Tribolium castaneum: one gene and its partner. The protein of the gene in region 2 purifies or fractionates together with the protein of the main gene of each other region. This does not show direct contact. Links are inferred from orthologs where the notes say so. Each region holds a gene or a part of one and is shown on either strand. Other genes may lie near its edges.

Region 1 (5,651 bases), on a different chromosome or scaffold from region 2:
CCGCCAATCGATAAACGTCCATCATTCGTAAAACTGTCTCGGTTGCTGCGCCCCCTTTTTTCGTGGGGTCTATACAATCCATGTAAATGTAATCCAAGACTAGTTCAAACGCTTCCGGATTCGCATCTGGAAACTCAATTTCGACCAAAGGAACCTCCTTAAAGGGAACATTAACCGTTCCGAATAATTTCTCCAAGTGACTATCACGTTTCGCTTTATTTTTTTTCAAAATCTGTCTTAAATGCGCCGACCTTGCGGCCACTATCGCCATGTGGCCAAAAATCTTCTTCGAGTCAGGCCCCACTAAAAACTGGACGTCGTAAAACTCATTCGTTGACAACAACTTCCCGAAGTCTTCGTGTAAAGTACATTTGGGGTAACAAGAGAATTGGAATCGGTACATTTCGCCACTGCGCACATTATTATCAATGGTGCCTCCAAAGACAAACATAGCGTCGTCCACAACGGCCGCAGCGTGAAAAAGTCTCCCCGAAGGAACAAAGGACTCAGCCGCTGGTAAAATCGTGGACCACGTCTGAGAGTCCAAATCGAAACAGTGGAGATCATTTGAAAGAGTGCTATCGGCAGCACCCCCAAAGACATACAAATGCCGGTCGAAAGCCACCATCGTGTGGCCGTAGCGCCGGGCAGGGGGCGGCGGGGCCCCCCTCAAAATATGGTCGGTGGTAATCCGAGTCCAGCTACAAGGTTATTTATTACCGGGGGTTGTAATGGGTATTTCAAAATTTACCGCCCGCAAAAAAAAATACCAAAAATACCAAGGCATTACGGTTTTTTATTTCGAGATGTTGTTTCTGTGTTGGCTAGTAATTGCCTTCACTGATATTGAGAAATTTATATAAATAATGTGAGCATATTTTGAGAATAAAACTTTGCTTTGTTTTTCAGTTGTGCGACTTTTTGTACAATTACTATACATTTTTTTTAACTCACAATTCAAATACTTTGTTTGCCACAAAATTAATCTCATATTCACATATTAACATTAGCATTAACACATATTAACATAAACGTATTTATTTAACTATATTTTACAAATCTAGCTCAGTTACATAACAAACATAAAACACATAAAAAATCGGGTTTTTATGAAAAATAATTAGGAACGAATTTGTGTATTGAAATTTTCACACATTCTTATTTCCAAGAAACTAAATACTAAAATTTAAAAAGCAAATTAGGCAAATAGATGTATTAGTTGTTTCAAAACTACAAAAATGCCAACGTCGCATTTCCTTTCAAAATTAGCTGTTATAAATTATTTACGCACTTAAGGAAATAATAGCCGATGTGATTTCTAGTTTCAATGTGAGATTTCATTATTAATAACTATTTTACAATTTTATCAATCTTATTTAAGAAAATAATTTGGTAAAATGCGACATTGGCGTTTTTATAGTTTTGAAACAGCTAATAGGTCGATTTACAGAACATTTATTAACTACAAATAAATTTTAGTATGTGATTAACCGAAGACTGAATAATTTGGCATTAAATCTGTTAATGCAACGTAAATAACAACTTTATGAAACGAGCCTTGGCGAATGTCGTAGAGTCTTATAGTCTTAGTAGTCATTATGTGCGAGTATACATACATTATTTTTTCTACGATCCGATGGGTTAAAATAAAAACATTTACATTTTTTTTTTCAAAATGTCAAATTTATATTTAAATGCCAAACTCAAGGCAATCTAATAGTCGCTGCCATATTACATTCTCATTGGTAACAAATTGTCCTCGTGGTCGCCACACTGCATTCCATTGGTTACGTACCTGTATATTAATGAAAAATCTGTATCTGTGTTTCATTAAAAAACAGGTCACAAACATTTTTCATTAATCAATTAAAAAATGGGAGTAGACAAAATTTTTTATTTTAAAAGATAGTATTGTTTTCAAATACATTATATACTGTTTCGTCTAAACCCCACATTAGAGGTATTACTTGTGACATTTATTGTCTAATGGATAATGATATTCATCTGAAATTAGTATACAACTTCGAATAATTTTTAAGATTTTATATTTTAAATGGTAATTAATATTGTTATTGTGTTTCTGGATTATTCAAGTTTTTGTAATAATCTGTGTAACCATCATATTTAAGTATTTTGGAATCCACTTTTTAAATTTTTGAATCTACACCTTCCCCTTAATAAAAACTATTGGCTGTTTTACCAAATTATTTTTTTAAATAAGTTTGATAAAAATGTAAAATAGTTCTTAACGATTAGGTTTCTCATTAAAAGTATAAATTACATTAGCTATTATATTCTTAAAGTGCATGAATAATTTATAACATCTAATTTTGGGAGCAAATGCAACGTTGTCGTTTTTATAGTTTTGAAGCAGCTAATATATGATTTTTAAATTATTTTTAAACTTAAAAGAAAAAATGGACAAGAAAAACCACTAGTTAAAAGAAAAATCCAATTGTAACAAGTGACAGCTGTTTTTATAGTTCAGGAACAGGTATTAGTTGCTGTATATTTTTTTTGTTAGACCTCAAACTATTATTTTTGTCGCCAGTTAATTTAGCACCTTGACAATCAAATTTAAACGTTGAAGTTTTAATTAACTAGCAGGAATGCCAATTGCTAATAACTCAGTGTTGCCAATACATTTTTTTATTATAATAATCACTCGGTATTTATTTTTGGCGGCGGTAACATTTGGAATACCCTGTAAGTACAAAATGGGGCTATACGTATGAGTGTTGAAATTGAACTGGAAGAGCGAGTTTGTGATTTGGGCCCCACTTTGCCCACTGAAAACAAACATACGCTCCCGCGCAACCGTCACCGGGAAATTACAGCAAGTCGGGGGGCACTCCCCTACTTGCATCACCTTGACCCAACAGCGACTATCCCCCTAAAAAACGCAATGAACCCCCGCAAAAACTGACGAATAATTACATTAAGTGAAATGGTCCACATGTCGTTCAAGCGGGCATTCCCGTCATACCCCGCGAAAATCCACAACTTGTTGTCATAAACCGCAGCCCCATGCGCCGACCGGGGCTCCGGCATGACCCCCAAAAACCGCCACTCGACCCATTGCCCTGAATGAAACTTATACTCGAACAAATCATTCTTGTTTGTGAGATTTGAATTGGAGTGGATGTCCCCGGTGTAGCCCCCGAACACGAACATTGAATTTCGGTAGACTACGGCCGAGTGGTGGTATCGGGGGGCTGGGGGGCACCCGTTGGTAAACGCGCGCCCCCATGACTTCTCCTTCACGTCAAATCGTAGCAAATCATTGAGCATGCTTTTGCCGTTGTCGCCCCCGAAGACGTAAATCGCCCCTTTGTAGGCCACCATTGTGTGCTTGCTACGACGCGCCCCCACAAACTCGTCGCATTCGGGCATACGTTTCCAGCGGTGGACCGTCTCCATCGGCCCGATCTCGAGCGTGAGGGCATTGTCGTAGAGAGCGGCGTCGTCCAGAATGGTCAAACTGCTCATTTTTTACACCTCTGAAAAGTGAGGTTATGTAACTTTTTTTCAGCGAAAATCAATCAAAATGGGCAGTTTTTGCACACAAACTCTAAAACTGACCTCTAGAAACAGTATTTGTTACATCATCGATGCTCGAGGCAGGTTTTTACGAAAAAATTCGTTTTGTCGGGTTGAATGAAACGTCAAAACACCCACATAAACACAACACTTCCGCTCAGACTCAGTAAGACGCTTGTTTTCATCGATTTATTGCGAACGGAGGATTTATTCATACGAATGGGGCTGTCGGGACACGATAATCCTAATGTGCGGTCCTTTGGGGTTGATCAGGGGGGCTGTCGGAGTGACAAATTATGCTTTTTGGGCAGAACCCTCGTCCAGATATATATATCTGGTCGAAGGGCAGAACAGTCACCAATTTAACACCGAGACCTGTCGTGTTATTTGAAAAAATTAGGATAAGGGGTACCAACCGGCAAAAATCCCCAATTCGGGGAAACCCATTTTTCAAATAAAAACACATTTCACGTAAATTCATTTAATCAAGATTAATTAATTACAGTTTGTTAAATTCAGTATAAGAGGAGGTGCGTCCAAGTTCCTCACCTTGCTGTGGATCATAATCCGGGAGCGCACCCATCTCTGAGTGTTAACTCTTCTCGGACGAGCCCTGTTTTGCACAAAATATTCAACCGAGCTCCCTTTGATCCACACCTTGTATTTCGTGGCGATAATCGGCTGAATATCGCACATTTCGACGTCGTGTGCATTGCGTGTGAGCGAAGTGGTGCAAGCTTGCATCATCAGAGGATAAATCAGTTCAAGTTGATGCAGTCTTAAGAACTCCAACACCTCGGGTTTGAAAGAAACGAAAAAGTCACCGGTGATTACATGCGTCGCTTCTTCGGGTTCGTGTTTGTAATCCGGGTCCCGAATTACCTCTGGAATTTTGGTTTTTGAACGGAAGTGGGGTTTTTTTCGCTTACCTATGACCTTATCGACGATTTTACAAAGATATTTATCGACAAAATCGTCAGGCAGTTGGTAAATGACTCGGTTGTTTTCATTGAGTATCCTAAGGCGCAAAATGGCCCTAGGGTTAATGCTCATAACCGGATAACCGAACTTCTCTTTAGGCATCGTGAAACCACACTGAATTCGAGGTGATTGGAATAAAAGCGAAAAAGTCGCGATAAATTTTTACCCACAAAAACACAAATTTTATCTAACGTTTTTATTTAAATTCGTCGTGTTACAATTCGGCCAAATTAATTGTTTCAAAAAATCCACTCTATCTTCGGCGTAATATAGCTCAATCCAGTCGCTTGATTTAACAAAAATCACTTTGTACCCCAGGATTTCCAAGTGGCGTTTTTTCATCTGGAAAGGACCTTTTAGCCGAGTCACAATTTTAGTGCACGCAAACTCGGGCAGTAACAACAAGGCCAGTCTGGAAAAATTCATTACGAAAAATTACGACTACGGGGGACTATAACTTAGGAGACGAAACGAGATACAAAATCGCACGATTTCCTAAATCTAAAAAATAGTTCGGCAGAGTGGCGCATCGAGGGTTATAGAGTCTCGGCGCCAATTCGTATTAAATTAATTTAAATCCAACCAATTCATTAATTATTGGGGAAAAATGCAGAAATGTTGAACTTTGCACTCTCTACAGATTGAGAAAAACTGACGATTGAAACATGAGAAAAAGATTATTTGAAATGTAAAATTTGCGCTTCGTCTCGTATTGTTCAAGACGGTATGAATACGGTTAAAGATACTGGAAAAAAGTCCAAATCTCGAACGTCAAAGGTTTAGGCCCTAAAGATGTTCAAAGACGTTGAAGCGAGGGATTCGTTTCATTTTACCGGTGGTCAAGTAACGGAAAGTTAATTTATAACTAAACTGTAGAAGACAGAAATATGGTGTCGGGGATTTTTTTATAGGAAATTTAATTCTCTACAACTTTCCTTACACTTTTTTTATCTTCAATCGTATTCCCAGCATTATGATAAACAGTGTGAGGAAATTTTATGGGCGAAGGTTAGTGCATGGGCGCGCGCTTGCAGTCAGATAAACCTTTAAATCGAAATGTTGTGGAATAGCTTACACTGTTGATATAAGTTAGGAAAGAGTATTAAAAACTGTTTAGACAAAGAATTTTT
Region 2 (4,419 bases):
TGAGGCACAAGCCGAAGGCGAGTGTCGTAACATATATAGTAAAAATGCATTGATATTTAGGCGCCACCGGTGACAACATTGACGAAAGTTTTGAAGCCACACCAGTGGACCCCAAAGACGCCATTGCCACGATTTTAATGTCGTCAGGGACCACTGGTTTGCCAAAGGGTGTGATGTGCACCCATGAAAGCATGACCACCTATGTTGACATAATGAGGTGATTTTTTAGTCATTTTTTCAATTGTTATATTGGACTGTCATTAGGGTTACCATGGCACAAATAATCGAAAATGACGATCCCAGCGACGCCATGATGGGTCTCGCCCCATTTTTCCACTCAATGGGTTTCATGTTAATGTTTTTGAATTTGTTACGCGGCAAAAAAATGGTTGTTTTGAGTCGTTTCAAAACCAAAATTTTCCTAGACGCTATCATAAAGTACAAAATTTCGCGACTTGTTGTACCACCACCTGTCATGTTGGTGCTCCTGAAACACCCACTTACTAAACAATACGACCTGTCTGGAATTAAGGAAATTCGGACAGGAGCTGCCCCCATGGGGAAAGACATGGAACGTGAATTAAAAAACCGATTTAAAGTAGGCCACGTGTCTCAAGGTTACGGAATGACTGAAACGACGTTAGGAATTCTAGTCAGTCCTTTGGGCAAAACTAAAGTCGGATCAGTTGGGAAAATTGTTCCAGGAATGATGGCCAAAGTTATTGATGATACTGGAAAGGCTTTAGGGCCGTATAAAGAAGGCGAGGTTTGTTTTAAAGGGCCCTTGATTATGAAGGGTTATGTTGGCGATCCTGTTGCCACGGCCAATACGATTGATCAAGACGGCTGGATACATACCGGAGACGTGGCCTACTACGATGAGGACGGATATTTTTTTATTGTTGACAGAATTAAAGAACTTATTAAGTACAAAGGCTATCAAGTGGCACCTGCTGAACTTGAGGCTTTGTTAATCACACATCCGGCGGTTGCAGATGCCGCTGTTATCGGCCTACCTGATGAAAGGGCCGGGGAATTACCGCTGGCCTTTGTTGTGAAAAAACCCAATCATGAGACGACTGACAAAGAATTGGAAAAATTTGTCGCCGGTACTTGTTAATTTAACCATTGATTTTTGTTTACTAATATTTTTGCAGACAATGTATCGTCTCAGAAACAATTGAGAGGAGGTGTTGTGTTCATTGATGCCATTCCGAGAAATCCGTCAGGAAAGATTTTACGGAGACATTTGAAACAGCACGCAATCACACTTAAATCAAAGCTTTAAGTAAATTTTGTTGTTATTTTTGTTGATAATTTTATACTGGTTTTGTTGGTGTCGTGATAATAAAACGTGACAAAAGTAAAAAGCATTTTTTGTTGTATTAAGAAATCAGAATACAATATTTACAATACAATTCAACTATGTCACAATAATACTTAGTACAAAAAAAATTGTTAAACACTAACGTTTTGGCTTGAACCTCTTGAATGGAAGTTGTTTTTGGTAAAACACAAATCGGGGCGTTCCTAAAGCTTTGCAAAATAAATAATTTTACATTTTATTGGACAGTCTTTATATGTAAAGAACAAGATCGTTCTTGATTTCATTAGCCTAGTTTCAAATATTCAAGGAAGCTTAAAAATGTAGGTACATCCAACATTGAATTAGGATTATAAAAATAAACTTGTAATATTCCATCGCAATCAAAGTGACCTGTCACATTAGCAACGCCATCTTTCGCTGTCATATTACAAGATCGGTTTTATTTGAGAAAACGATATGTAAATTTAGAAAAGAATCACAATTTGTCGTTCACAAGACAAAAAGTTTGAAGCAGAATTAAAATTAGTCCGAATCGTCGTCAGCGCCTGGATCGAATCCGGCCAAATCAGCCGACTGTAAGTGTCCCTTCATTAGGGCGTATTCGATCAAAGCGAGATGACAAAAAATGTACTGATCAGGCATTTGGATGGAATATGCACGTTGTGATCGGATTCGTTCGACAGTTCCTCGAATATCTGCCGTTCCTAAATCCTCCAGTCGGGATATACAAATATCCAAGGTACAAAAAGTCCCTAAAAAATACAGAAACAGTTGTTCATCAATTTAAATTTCTATTGAAAAACTTCAAATTAATGTGTTGGAATTTGTTAATTTAATTGAATAAATAAATTGGTAAAGAACAGAATGTGTTTTCTTACCCGTTCGTCCAATTCCTGCACTACAATGGACCACAATCGGCGGTCCTCGGGGATGCCCTGCCCATGTATCACCCAGTGCTACCACCATAGCGTTCTGTTTTCGGCGCACACGTTCGAGAAACTCGAGCATGGCTTTAGCCGAACGGGGAACCCCATAATCGGGCCATGACGTAAACTGCCAATGCGAAACTTCCCTAGATTCGTCGGTCTATGAACAAATTGTAATTCGAATGCATAACTATGAATTTTTTTCACATACTTTATTATTAATAAGATTAATAGTTGTGACGGTGTAGTCGGGATCGGTTTCAACAGCTACAGTTTTAACAGTGAATTGACCATAACTCGCTTCACTCCCAACTTCAGTCTCCCAGTACTGGTGACACTTGGGACGCCCTCGTTCCATCACTCGAGTCGTCATCACTATCACTAAACTATGTTGTTCCCAAATCATTCGCCAAAAATCGGGCGTTGTTTTCGGTAAAGGACCTACAATTTTAATTTAATAGCACGAAGGACCGAGTGATTATGCAATATTCACCTTGTGTGTTAATAAACGCGTTTTTCTGCTTATACCCATCGACAAAATTCGCATGTATATAATCACTGTCTTTATCACAATCGATTTCGGAGAGAATCACTCGACTATGATCGTAACACAACACATCCGTGTATCGATTTTTCGGCAAGTTGTTTTTCATTTTGGCGACGTTGAAGGTGCCATCAGGGGGCCTTGACCGAATCTCTGCGTACTCCTGCATGAGCCCCGAACGCCCCCTATCTCGCACATAATCCACCAATTGGGGCATTGTAAGTGCAGCCCCATCTCCATGCAAAGAATCATCGTCAGAGAAACCACTCGATGCGCTACTTGGCGGATTCAAATTGCCTTCTTCGGCCCAGGTGTCGTTTATGTTATTGGTCGATGACGAGATTTCGATTTCGGTTGGTGTGCGAATGCGTTTTTGGGGTGATGGCGTTTTGCCATCTAAAATTTTTTATTTAATTACAATAATTCAATAATATGTTAACACCGACCATATTGTGGCAATGAGGTTTCCTCTCGAGTGGTCATTGACTGCAAACACAACGATAGCCAACCATTATGGTCCAGGATGAGTGAGCCGCCCAACTGTGTTGGTAGAGATTCTCGTGGTATATGGGTTAAAAGTTGGGCCACTGAAACGGTGTAAACTCTCTCACGGAGTTTTTCACGGACGAAAAGACGCAGGATTTTGAAGGGGGCTTTGAACCACAAGGGGGCCGTCACGATCAGCACCTTTTTAAGTTTGGCCGGATAGCCGCCCTATAAATTTTATTTTCATTTGCATTGCGTTTTAGAGACAAAGCAACGGTAATCGGCAACAATGCGTTCATTAACATTTTTTTGCCATTAAATTCATGAAAAATTATCGCACTGACCCATTGGCTTTGTTACAAATAAATCACGTCGGTAACTGTTCACCGAATTCTTTTGAGGAAAATTATTATATTACCATGTATAATTTTAGAGAAAAAAAAAACAAACTATTTTAATGTGAAATGAGCCGTAGAATTCAATGGAACAAACCGCGTTGCTCTACGACTTTTAGTTTTCGAGTTATGAATTTTTTTAGTGTAAAACTTCATTACCAAAAAACCAATAATTAGCTGAGGTGACTAATGCAGATACGTAATAATAATCTGGAATTAAGCAGAGCCGTAACAACTGTGTTTTATTTTTACATGTTTTTTTGGCAAAAAAATATTTGAATTATTATTTTGTTATAAAGTGATCGTCCCACGATGCATGAGTGACCCAATCTGCATAATATCTGTTTCGTAACGCTGTGAATGATGCGCAATATTTTAGGTTAGCGATTAAATTAATTTTAATTTATTTATGCACCATCGCATTTTGGAGCAAACATTAAGTGTAGGTATGAAACAATATGGTGGAAATCTCATGACATAAGTAGTAAAACAGTCAGATAAATAAAACAAACACTTGATTAATTCCTGAAACGATACGCTTGATCATTTCCATGGAAAATCCCTCCACACCATCCGAAAACATTTCGCGTTAATTTACGACACAAACTGCGTCTATTCCATCAAACACACACACGAATCTAAAATTACAACACCGACAATTTATCACTCGTCTATTATTCCAAATAATAGAAACAATCGTTGATACGTCCCCTTACGTAATGCCTTACCTGACTAAAAAAA

Evidence for each region. The genes of interacting proteins can lie anywhere in the genome.
Region 1: the proteins of Ptpmeg2 (region 2) and Lztr1 purify together in Homo sapiens (affinity purification with mass spectrometry; 3 studies listed by BioGRID and IntAct, with this or other methods). This does not show direct contact. The link is inferred for Tribolium castaneum from reciprocal best matches to the Homo sapiens genes PTPN9 and LZTR1.

Annotation. Positions count from the first base shown.
Region 1 is NC_087402.1:10,242,468-10,248,118, reverse strand, and holds the start of Lztr1 (leucine-zipper-like transcriptional regulator 1), read right to left. Parts: upstream 3,865-5,651; 5' UTR 3,583-3,864; intron 3,501-3,582; 5' UTR 3,490-3,500; coding exon 2,938-3,489; intron 2,894-2,937; coding exon 2,730-2,893; intron 702-2,729; coding exon 1-701. Other genes in the region: FAST kinase domain-containing protein 1, mitochondrial, read right to left, coding at 4,705-4,933. UniProt on the Homo sapiens protein: Substrate-specific adapter of a BCR (BTB-CUL3-RBX1) E3 ubiquitin-protein ligase complex that mediates ubiquitination of Ras (K-Ras/KRAS, N-Ras/NRAS and H-Ras/HRAS).
Region 2 is NC_087397.1:429,753-434,171, reverse strand, and holds the end of Ptpmeg2 (tyrosine-protein phosphatase non-receptor type 9), read right to left. Parts: intron 3,512-4,419; coding exon 3,244-3,511; intron 3,194-3,243; coding exon 2,747-3,193; intron 2,695-2,746; coding exon 2,465-2,694; intron 2,414-2,464; coding exon 2,206-2,413; intron 2,080-2,205; coding exon 1,850-2,079; 3' UTR 1,365-1,849; downstream 1-1,364. Other genes in the region: uncharacterized protein LOC662698, read left to right, coding at 61-217, 265-1,109, 1,158-1,288. UniProt on the Homo sapiens protein: Protein-tyrosine phosphatase that could participate in the transfer of hydrophobic ligands or in functions of the Golgi apparatus.